2 linked regions of the Ovis aries genome follow. The protein of the gene in region 1 purifies or fractionates together with the protein of each later gene. This does not show direct contact. Links are inferred from orthologs where the notes say so. Each region holds a gene or a part of one and is shown on either strand. Other genes may lie near its edges.

The links. Proteins that work in one complex are often made in the same cells at the same time.
Region 2: the proteins of cyclin-dependent kinase inhibitor 2A (region 1) and CDK5RAP3 purify together in Homo sapiens (affinity purification with western blotting; 3 studies listed by BioGRID). This does not show direct contact. The link is inferred for Ovis aries from reciprocal best matches to the Homo sapiens genes CDKN2A and CDK5RAP3.

What each region holds. Positions count from the first base shown.
Region 1 is NC_056055.1:90,754,947-90,761,393, forward strand, and holds the start of cyclin-dependent kinase inhibitor 2A, read right to left. Parts: upstream 3,755-6,447; 5' UTR 3,426-3,754; coding exon 3,300-3,425; intron 89-3,299; coding exon 1-88. UniProt on the Homo sapiens protein: Acts as a negative regulator of the proliferation of normal cells by interacting strongly with CDK4 and CDK6. This inhibits their ability to interact with cyclins D and to phosphorylate the retinoblastoma protein.
Region 2 is NC_056064.1:38,227,377-38,231,413, reverse strand, and holds the start of CDK5RAP3 (CDK5 regulatory subunit-associated protein 3), read left to right. Parts: upstream 1-1,237; 5' UTR 1,238-1,258; coding exon 1,259-1,264; intron 1,265-1,487; coding exon 1,488-1,533; intron 1,534-1,905; exon of another isoform or gene 1,906-1,947; coding exon of another isoform or gene 1,948-1,969; intron 1,970-3,243; coding exon 3,244-3,375; intron 3,376-3,654; coding exon 3,655-3,755; intron 3,756-4,037. UniProt on the Homo sapiens protein: Substrate adapter of E3 ligase complexes mediating ufmylation, the covalent attachment of the ubiquitin-like modifier UFM1 to substrate proteins, and which is involved in various processes, such as ribosome recycling and reticulophagy (also called ER-phagy).

The DNA.
Region 1 (6,447 bases):
GGGTGAGGGTGGCGGGGTCCGCGCAGTTGGGGTCCGCGCCGTGGAGCAGCAGAAGCTCCGCCACGCGGGCGCTGCCCATCATCATCACCTGCCAGAGAGAGCAGAGTGGTCAGGACGGCTGGGGGCAGGGGCAGGATTAAAGAAACTACTTGTAGAACCCGTACTCCCTGCAGATGCGCTTACGATCCGCAAGAATCTAGTTACTACTTTTTTTTTTTTTCAGTTACCGACTCGCTTAGCCAGTTCTCCTACCTATTCCTTTTTTTTTTTTTTTCTGTACACACTGTTACATTCTTCAGCATTTTGCGGGGTTCCAGCCACGAACAGAACACTACCAGAGTCATAGATAACAGCAAAAGGGTGAGGAACAAACTGACTTCTACTACAGCCTAATCTCCTGTATTTTATTTTGATATGAAATTATGCAAGGCCCAGAGACTTTGTATGGTTCACTGCTGTATGTCCAAGCCCAGAACATGGTAATTGTTTAAAAGTAAAAATGAAAAAAAAAAAAACTTAATTCTTGTAAAACGTTAAGCTACCCTTGATTTCCCTGAACGTTAAACTTCAATTTCTTGAAGTATAAAATGAAAAAGTTTGTCTAACCAGTCCTAAAATTCCTTCTTCTGGTAAGCTAAATAATGTTCCCCAAAGATGTCCATTTCCTGATACTCAAAAGCTGTTAACATACTACCTTATGTGAAAAAAGGGACTTTGTGGATATGATTAAATTAAGGATTTTGCGGGCAATTAACCTGTATTGTCAGGGTGGGCACAATTTAATGACAAGTTTCCTTATAAAAAGATCACAGTCAGAGAAGATATAAGAATGGAAGCAGAGGTCAGAGAGAAAATGCAGGGGCCAAGAGCCAAGGAATGTTGACTGTCACTAAATGTTGGGAGAGGCAAGGAAATGGATTCTTCCTTAGAACTCCCAAAGGGAATGCAACCTTGTGGACCCATTTTAGAATTCTGATTTACAGAACCATAAGATAATAAATTTATGTTGATACTAAATTTGTGGTAATTTGTTATAGCAGAAATAGGAAGACACCTTCCAAGATCACACTCAGACTTCATTAAAGAGGAGGTGCTCACTTCATTTGGTTCCTAAATAATCTTTGATGATACAAGAGCATTACCAAAGAGGAATTTTGAAATATTGTTCACAATCACAGCAACTTTGCAATTTGAGTGTTATACATTGGGTGGAGGTGATAGAACATTCTTTTTTAGGGTAACCATTATTTGGTTACATTAGCTACACTATATTGAGGAATTATTTATTTTTAGTTGAGTTCTGTATTAAACTTGAATTAATTTGTTCAAACCAAGGAATCTTAACAAGTTATACTATGCTTGTTGAGTTCTATCCTAGAGAAAGTGAAACTGATTTAATTAAAAAAAAAAAAAAAACCACAGAGAAAATTTAAGTGAACCAACTTGCAGCTACAAAAAGGAAAACTAACAGTGCATTAGAAGAAAGAATTTTTTAAAATAAAAACTGGGGAAATTTACACTATTGGATTTCTCATGGATTATGAATTAATTTCCAAAACAAAGGGGCCACACCCAAGGACACCATAATCTTTTGGAAACTCTACTATAAGTGCCAGAGCTCATATATATATATGTATGTCTCCTTCCATGCTTGTATATAATGCAGGTGAAAATATATTACATGGGTTGGATAAATGAAGTCCTTGGTCTTAGTCATTAAATTGGTTAAAGGTATTATTATATGCTACAGTATTAAAGTATGAAAAGTAACATAATATTTAAATCATAGTAGCAATCCAAAGCAAAAAGAAAATCATTCAAATGAATATTTCTAGGGTACTTAAGTCAAACTGAAGATATAAATTTAATTTAGTCATTAAAATTTTTCTATAAACTAAGTATTTTTAAACACAAATTTGGTTAGGGTTCAAAACTAAAATCATATCCCTTTTGTCGATGCCCTTATCCTATTTAAAAATAATTTAAAATTAATTATCTTTCTTTTTGTATTTAAACAATAAAGTCTAATATAACATCTTTCAGAACTAGAAGGCTGTAACACCCAGTCTGCAAACTGCTGGCAAAACTTTAGAGATATCCAATTATGAATCATGCATGCATTTTTTAAAAAAAGAACTCATGCTTCTCTTCTACAACCATTCAACCTTTTAATCTCCAAATCTCTCCACATTTCAAATCCCAAATAATCTCAGATTTGAGGATATTTTATTTTTATTTTTGTATCTAAAAGTATATAAAATATATCTGTTCTATGTAGCATAGTTTGAGGAAAGGACGATTCGCTTGTGAAATCACTTGTTAAGTTCCAGGTTGAGTTACTTTTCCTTTGTCTTGTTATGCTGGAGTTTTTGCAGTGTACATTTCATATAAATATTATTTTTCAGAATCAGAAATCGTTGTCGAAACCTGGAATAAAACTGGAGTGACTGCCAGGAAGAATTTATTTTTAGCCCCAGATTTAGGAAGTTAGTGAAGGCAAAACACACACACACACACACACACACACACACACAGAAAAACGAACTCACAACTCATCCTCACACATACAAAACTGGAGTGGGGAGAGGAGAAATGACATTTTTTAAACTATGAGGAACTGAAAACTTCCCAGGAAATTAATGTATACCAAGTAAGTTTAAAATACCCCAAAAGGTAAGAGACACTCAAGTGGTAACTAAATTGGCAGCATTATTTCAGGCATAATTGCACTAATTTTTTTTTTCATGTATGTCTATTTCCTAAACAAGCATATATGTTCCTTACTCGGTTAAAAAAAAATAATAAACACGATATATGGTTGCTTCTGAATAATTTCAATCGACCTTTATTCCAACTTACACAGCAGTAGATTTCCACTGAAATCTCCCTCTCACCGCCCCTCCCCCCCCAACAAAGAAGTCGATCAGCTCCATTCACAATTTTATAAGTTCGGGAGTAAGTGGTCCAGCATGTCTTACTGTCTTTATACTCGTACTCCAGACGTTCGTCAATTTCGCATATCGGTCTATATTAACACACGTAGGTTCTCCCTTCTAGATCTTCACACCGTTTTAGAGATCTGAACCCCACGCGCCTTCTCAGCCAGCTCCGCGGCCGTCCTGAGCCCCCTGAGAGTCGCCGAGAGGTCTCCGATCCCGAACTCGGTCTGAAAAGTCTCCCCTTTACCAAGAAACGCTTACCTGGTTCCGACTCACTGGCGGACCTCGTCCTCCAAAGCCTCTCGCCATCCACCCACCCACCCAGCCGCCCACCTTTCCGCGGCAGACCTGCTGACCCACCTGAATCGCGCTTCGACCGTAACGGTTCGGCGCGTTGGCCAACGCTCCAGCCTCGAGCAGTGCCCGTACCTCGTCAGCCCGGCCCCGCGCGGCGGCGGCGGCCAGCAAGTCAGCCGAGGTCTCCATGCTGCTCCCCAAAGCTCGCCCCTCGCTCCCTCCCTTCCTCCCGCCTGCGTCGAGCGCGGGCGGCCCGCCCAGGCTGCTCCTGAGCAGCCCGCCCCTCCTCTTTCCTCCTACGGGGCTGGCGGAAGCGGCCCCCAGACTCGGCCCCTCGACTCCTCCCGAGGAGTCTTTCCACCCGGGGAGCGCCCTCCACGCGCTCTTCCAGGAGGCGCCCTTTGCTCCTAACGAACAAGACGTCTATGAAGTAGCCCCCGCCGGGCCTCCTCGGTCACAGGTCTGCCGCCCACGCGACCCGAGGCACCGGCCGGAAGCTGTCCGCTCCGGTAGCGCGACGGGACCGCGAAAGGAGGGCGCCCTGGGACCTCCTCCCCGCCCCCCGCCCCGCGTCCGCGCGCAGCGCGCCCCCACCCCCATCAGAGGCGCACGCGCGGCTCCGAGCGAGTTCACTCCAGCCAAGTGAAAATTCCTCGCGTATACACCCTGAGTGGCGTGAGACAACTGCATAGGATTCCTAACTGCCAAGTTCGAACCAGTGTGTTTGGAGTCATAGGCAAAGTTATTGCTTCCTCTTTTAATCAGAAGAAACAGCCAGCTTGTCCTGGCCCCGAGCGCCCAGGATAGGTATCAGCCATTCCACCATGAGGCTTTCCTTCTTGGAGAGGATACACTCCCCCTCCAACGCTCAGCACCAGGTTTTCGAGCGCTGGCTCGATTATGCCAGAAATTCTAGCTCAAACGTCCCTTCTGGAGAACTGGCTCACGCGCCAGGCTGTGCCTCCCTCCCTCCACACACATGTAAAACGGATGTCGGGGGAGAGCGTTTCCTAGGCTTGCACAATGCCTGGTACTAGTGCCCAGTATACGGGCTGGCTCCGAGCAGATGAGGTCAATTTAAAAGGGATGGTGGAGATTTCTACCTGTACGCAGATAGGAAAGTGGCAAGGGTATCCTTGGGCTTAGTAGGCTCTGTTCTCAATAATTTCTCCTACACCAGAAAACATGCTCATTGCTCTAGGGACAGGGCTGCATTCGGAGATGATTCAGAAAGCAGGCTCACACACTGTCTTGGTGCCACTTCTGTCCACCTTTCCTTCCTGTTAGAAAAACCTTACACTTTTCTTAGTTATAAAATGGAGGGGGGAATAAGAGGTGTCCCTACTTCCTAGGACTGTTTTGAGTTTTAAATGAATTGATACACACATAAGCATTTAGAACAGTATCACACATCCTAAGCTCATGCCTGTTAGCTCTTAACATCCATTTTGAAGATTTTCTTGCAATCTAGGAGACAGAGAAGGAAATGGTTTAGGTAGAATTATCAATATTACATATAAAAGGGCAGGCAAGAAAACCTTAATCACTGAAACAATGATGGACATCTTCCAGTGACCGACATATTTAATGAAAAGTTAATGTTTAATCTGTCTGCTAGATAACCCAGCTCTGTTTTAAAAGTTATATTTCAATTCCTACTTGACTCCTCTTGAAGACCCATAATACTTGACTATACTTTCAGTGGCTGTTAGTTTAGGCAACACATGAGGTTTTAAATAATGACAATTAAAACACTTATGGGACTGGGAAGTCAAGTCCATTATAAAATCCACAATGCATCACTGTGTTATGTATATTTTCCTCCAGGCACCTCTCAAGTATGAGAGCAACAATGATGTGGAAATGTAAACATCTTCTAATGTTGCTTAAGGTATTGTATGATAGAGGAGGGGAAAACAGCAGTTGTGGTAATGAGATGGAGGGAACAGATTTCCCTTGTAATATGTCTGGCTTTTTAGACTAATATCAAAATTAAATTAAACCATTAAAAATAATGGTTCTTAATCTTAGGGCAGGGAGAATAAGCTGTTGAAAGCTATATACCCTCTCCTCCAAAAATAAAATATGCAATTTTATTTAAAAAGTGTGTTCACTGGCACATGTAACTTTTAGGGAATTCAGTAATTCCTCTAAAATTCAACTATAGATTCCTACATCAGGAACTCTTTAAACTCTCATGCAATATATTGGACTGTTGATGAAGGAAACGGGTGCTCGAACAATATAAAAACATCCGCTGGATGCATTACATATAGATATAGAGGTTGATTTTCTTCCAAAGCAGGTTTTAGACAGGTATGCACTAGCTCCAACACTTACAGTAGAGTTCGCTAAAGACATGGCATCCTTGAGTGTGGCCCCCTTGTTCTAGAAATTGACCCCATACTCAGCCAGCAATCTTGTATAAATAGGTAACTAGCAATAATATGAAAGATTGCCTAGTTTTTCTTTTAAAGAACTACCAAACTCTCAACTTACTCATGTATATTAGATCAGACCTGAGGGGAAAAAATCTCAGAAGAAATAAAATATAAAACCCAGGATCCTTGTGCTGGTTATGCTAGTCTCAGATCCCCCATCTGTAAAATGGAGTCATATTTTATGGATTGATAAAATAAGATGATACATGTCAAAGAGCTTTAAAAATTCTAAAGTTTGTTGGTTAGTGTTATTACCCTTCTCAAACTTCCTTCTCTTCCTTGAGAATGACATGGCCTTATTTAGGTTTGTGCTGTGCTGGCAGTTTTGAAAATCTACACGATGAAATAAAAATCTGTCTCAATTCTCTTTTTTTTTTTCACGATTGCTCACCTCTAAAAATGAATGTTCATTCAACAAGCTCAGAGGTTAAGGGTAGAGCACTGAGTGTGGCGGGGGGCGGGGAAGATATGAAATGTATTGGGCCTGAGTTAGAATGCCTGGGTTCAAACCTACACTTTTCACTTAATCGCTCTATAACAAAGTAACTTAATGTACTTGGAGCTCAGTTTTTTCATCTGTGTAACTGGGATAATAGTACTTGCCTCAAACAGTTGTTGTACAGATTAAACGAAGTATTATATGTAATATGTGTAGAAGAGCAAAGAGAAGCAGAGGATGACACAAGAAAATGAAAATGGAACCAAGCTCATTCTGTGGCTTAGGCAAAGTCTCCATGGATGCTGAAAGCTTATCTTAGTCTTAAAAAATG
Region 2 (4,037 bases), on another chromosome or scaffold:
GTCTTTCCCGCCTGTTTTTCCCTGCACCTCGTTGCAAAGCCTGCAAAGCTTTGTACAGTCTACTCCAACCGGGAACACCACTCCCACATCTCCCTCTTTCTGCAGCTCTTCTTTTAACACTCAATTTAGGTGTTATCTTTGGGATGCCTCCTTTGACCCTCCTCCCTCCCCATCCCTGCCCTAATCACATAACACGTAGCAGGTGTTCAACACTTGTCTATTACATAAATTCAGTGAGAAGGTAATGTGCCAAAAAAGACTTTTAAACCATGATCCACGGTAAAGCGAGGCAAGTAGGGCGTTTCTAAAAAGACTCTTCTTGAGAGTCTCTTGGACTGCAAGGAGATCAAACCAGTCAATCCTAAAGGAAGTCAACCCTGACTATTCACTGGAAGGACTGATGCTGAAGCTGAAGCTCCAATACTTTGGCCACCTGATGCGAAGAGTTGACTCATTGGAAAAGACCTTGATGCTGGGAAATATTGGGGGCAGGAGGAGAAGGGGGCGACAGAGGATGAGATGGTTGGATGGCATCACCGACTCAATGGATATGAGTCTGAGCAAACTCCAGGGGATGGTTTACGACAGGGAAGCCTGGAGTGCTCCTATTCACGGGGTCGCAAAGAGTCGGATACGACTGAGCGTATCTAAACAACATCAAGTTATGGGCAGCATTATCACCATCTTCTACCCCACAAAGAACCACAATGCACTGGAATGTTTTCCTCTGGAATTGCATTTCTACTCTTGTATTCAAAATTTTTTCCCACTTATGTTCAAAATTAAAAAATGACATCATTAAAAAAATAAATAAATAAACAACATCAAGGACCTCTAGGTTCCTCAGTAGGCGCTAGGACCCTGTCGGCCGACTCGTTAATCTTTACGCAGAGGGCTCCGCGCCTGTCTGGCCGGGAGCGACTGGGATCAGCTCCAGGGCGCCGCCTGCTGGGATTCTGCAGCCTCTGCAGCCCTTTCCGGGCGCCCCAGCTCCTGCCAGGTCTTGAGCCCGCCTCGCGTCTCCCATTGGCTGGCTCCTCTTCTCCCGCCCTTCCCGGGCTCAGCCACTCGGAACCCCGGCGTGGGTGGGGCTTGAGGCCTGGGATGGAGCGCGCTTCCCGATTGGCTCTGAGGAAGGCGGTGACGTGGCCCGAGAAGACCCATCTGTGCCTAACCCGAGGCTCAGCCAGAACAGCCCTGGATTAGTGGTAGGCGGGGCGTGTCCCGGTCGGAGGCCGGAAACGGAAGTGGAGGAAAGATGCAGGTGGGGGAACAGCAGCTGGGGAAATGGGGGGCTGCCCTGGGGCCCCTGGGCTGAGTTCAGCCGGTCCTTTCCTGACATGCTTCCTCAGGCTCTCTCCGGGGGCGCCCTCCCCGGCCCGTTGTGCTGGCCCCACAGGGTGGCGGTTGGGGCGATGAAGTGAGCGCGCGAGCGGCTTGTCAGCTCGCAGCACTCACGCACCTTTCCCCGCCGTGTTTCCCGCCAGGACCATCAGCACGTGCCCATCGACATCCAGACCAGCAAGCTACTCGGTAGGAGGGGCGCCCCCGCTCACCTAGCTGTCAAGGGGAGACCTGGCCCCCTGGCCCTCTGTCACCAACAGCGGACCCGCCGACCACTCGCTCTGTTCTGTGCTCCCATCTGTGGCTGGACCTGCCTCAGTAAAAGGAGCGGGAAGGAACCATGCATAGAGTCTATACTTGACCTGTGTTTTCTATTTAAACGTATATAACATGTTGTCAGTCATGTATTTTAGGGACAGAGGAGAGTTGAAGGCTTGCCTTAAAGATGATCAGCTGCCGAATGGCAGATCTGAAGTTAGAACCTAAGTCTGTCAGGTTCCAGTATTGTATTACGCTGGAAAAAAAAACTTTCTTCCTTTTTATTTTTTCCTTTGACTTTAGGAGGAAAAGGCACGTAGGTCCAGTTGAAAAGAAAACCTTTTAATGGCCAGACCATCTCCCTGCTGTCTGTATCGCGTCTATATACCACCTCTCTAGTTCAGAGCCAGGGAAGGGCCTCTTCACTCTGACCCCTCTAGGGCAGTGCACAGCTCCTGGATTTTTAAATGGTCTTTGAATTAATTGTTTTGATGCCAGTTGTGTCATTAAGATGACATCTGTTTGACTGTGTCGTCCCTTTGCTTCCACTTCTGTGACATCTACATAATTTTTGTTTTTGGAGATTTTAGTGGAGTGCAGCAATGGGGATATAACTGATAACTAGTGTGGGCTCCCAGCATTTGACCAGTTAGCAGATTTCTTAACAAGGGCAAGGTGGCCACTTAGTGGAGCGTCTTTAACTTCATTTTGGATTTGTCCCAGCTCTTCAGGACCTGTACACTCTTGATGTATATGCTTGTTATTGGTCCTGAAAAGGACTGGTAAAAACCCAACCATTTATTGAGGGTTTATTCTATACCAAGTGCTGTTTTATGGGCTTAACATTATGAAAATGAAGACCACTACAATTCATTGAGCCCTTGCCATGCGCCAGGCATGATGTTCAGTGTTCTACCGTTTGTACTCAGTATATTTATCATGCCCATTTTACATGTAGAGAAACTGAGGCACAGAGAGGTTGAGAGACTTGCCCAAGAAAGTTGGTAATTAGAACCAGGACCAGCTGACCACAAAGTCTAGGTCTTAGCTCTCTCCTATGAGGAAATGTACATAGCTCTCATCCACCTATACCCTCAACTGAAAACAGATCTGGCCCAGAATCCAGGAGATCAGTCACACTGGTATCCATGTGTGCAGGATGGTGCTTCGCTGATAAGAGTAGACCAGTGTTATTTAGTCCTTAGGGGCTTTGCAGTTGTTCATTCATCTGGTATTTGGTGTAACCGACTTGTGTTTTTCATTGTCATGGTTAATCCCAGCCCTGAGAAAGTAGAAATTGAATGGCAGTAAGAAAGATATAATTATCCATGGAAGCAAAAATATCATGGAGAATTTAGAGTGGTCCAAAGTGTCACTTTGATGTCAGGACCAATTGAAAGCTTTCCTTTATCCTGTGTTGAGGCAGTTACTTTATAAAGTCACATTGTGGATAAAGTTAGGTTGCTGGAATCTGTTTAGCCCCAAGCATCCCTTTGAGCCTGTCTTCATTCCCATCTTCCCGTGACCCCCACACCTTAACCAATATGAGTACAACTTTTAGCCAATGCCTTAGCATATTTCACTTGAATCAGTGATGCAGTTTTGGCCATGGGAATGCTATGATTTGGGTTTCTGCTATAGACTGGCTGGTAGATAGAAGGCACTGCAACCTGAAATGGCAGAGTCTAGTATTGACCATCCGAGAGAAGATCAATGCCGCCATCCAGGACATGCCAGAGAGCCAAGAGATCGCCCAGCTGCTCTCTGGATCCTGTGAGTGCTTCGGGGCTGCATTACTGGACCCCCGTCTTTCTTGGGGTGGTATAAATCTGCTGAGCTGTTCCTCTTTCTTTAGTCATAGGACTGACCTCTAAAGAAAGAGAGGCTTTTATTTGGGGTATAGAGGCTGGTTTATTTCAACACAAAATGATGAAGGGGAGAGCTGTGCCCTCTAAAGTTACTGGCATATACATGAGTCAGCCATATGCGGAGGCTGCAGTGGTGGGTTAGAGACTATTATTTCCAAAGTCTTTGTTTTTCTTTGCTTTCCAGACATTCACTACTTCCACTGCCTAAGAATTGTGGAGCTTCTCAAAGGCACTGAAGCCTCCACAAAAAATATTTTCGGCCGGTACTCTTCACAGCGAATGAAGGCAAGTATGGGTGACGGTGGTAACGCGCAGCTGGAGGCATCCAGTCCAGGGGGTCAGAGGCTGTCTGGTCTCGCTGAGGTTCCATTGGAGATGCCCCCGTGGAATATTTTCTCAGCTTTCTCTCTGTCCCCATAGTTTATGCCAAAAGTAGATCCTGAAAGTGGAAGTATCAGTCGCTCAGTTGTGTCCAACTCCTTGTGCCCCTACGCCTGGGTTTCCATTTGCTTTAGGAATCGCTTGTTGGCACCATACTCTTAAAGTGGGTGGTCCAGCCAGCATTAT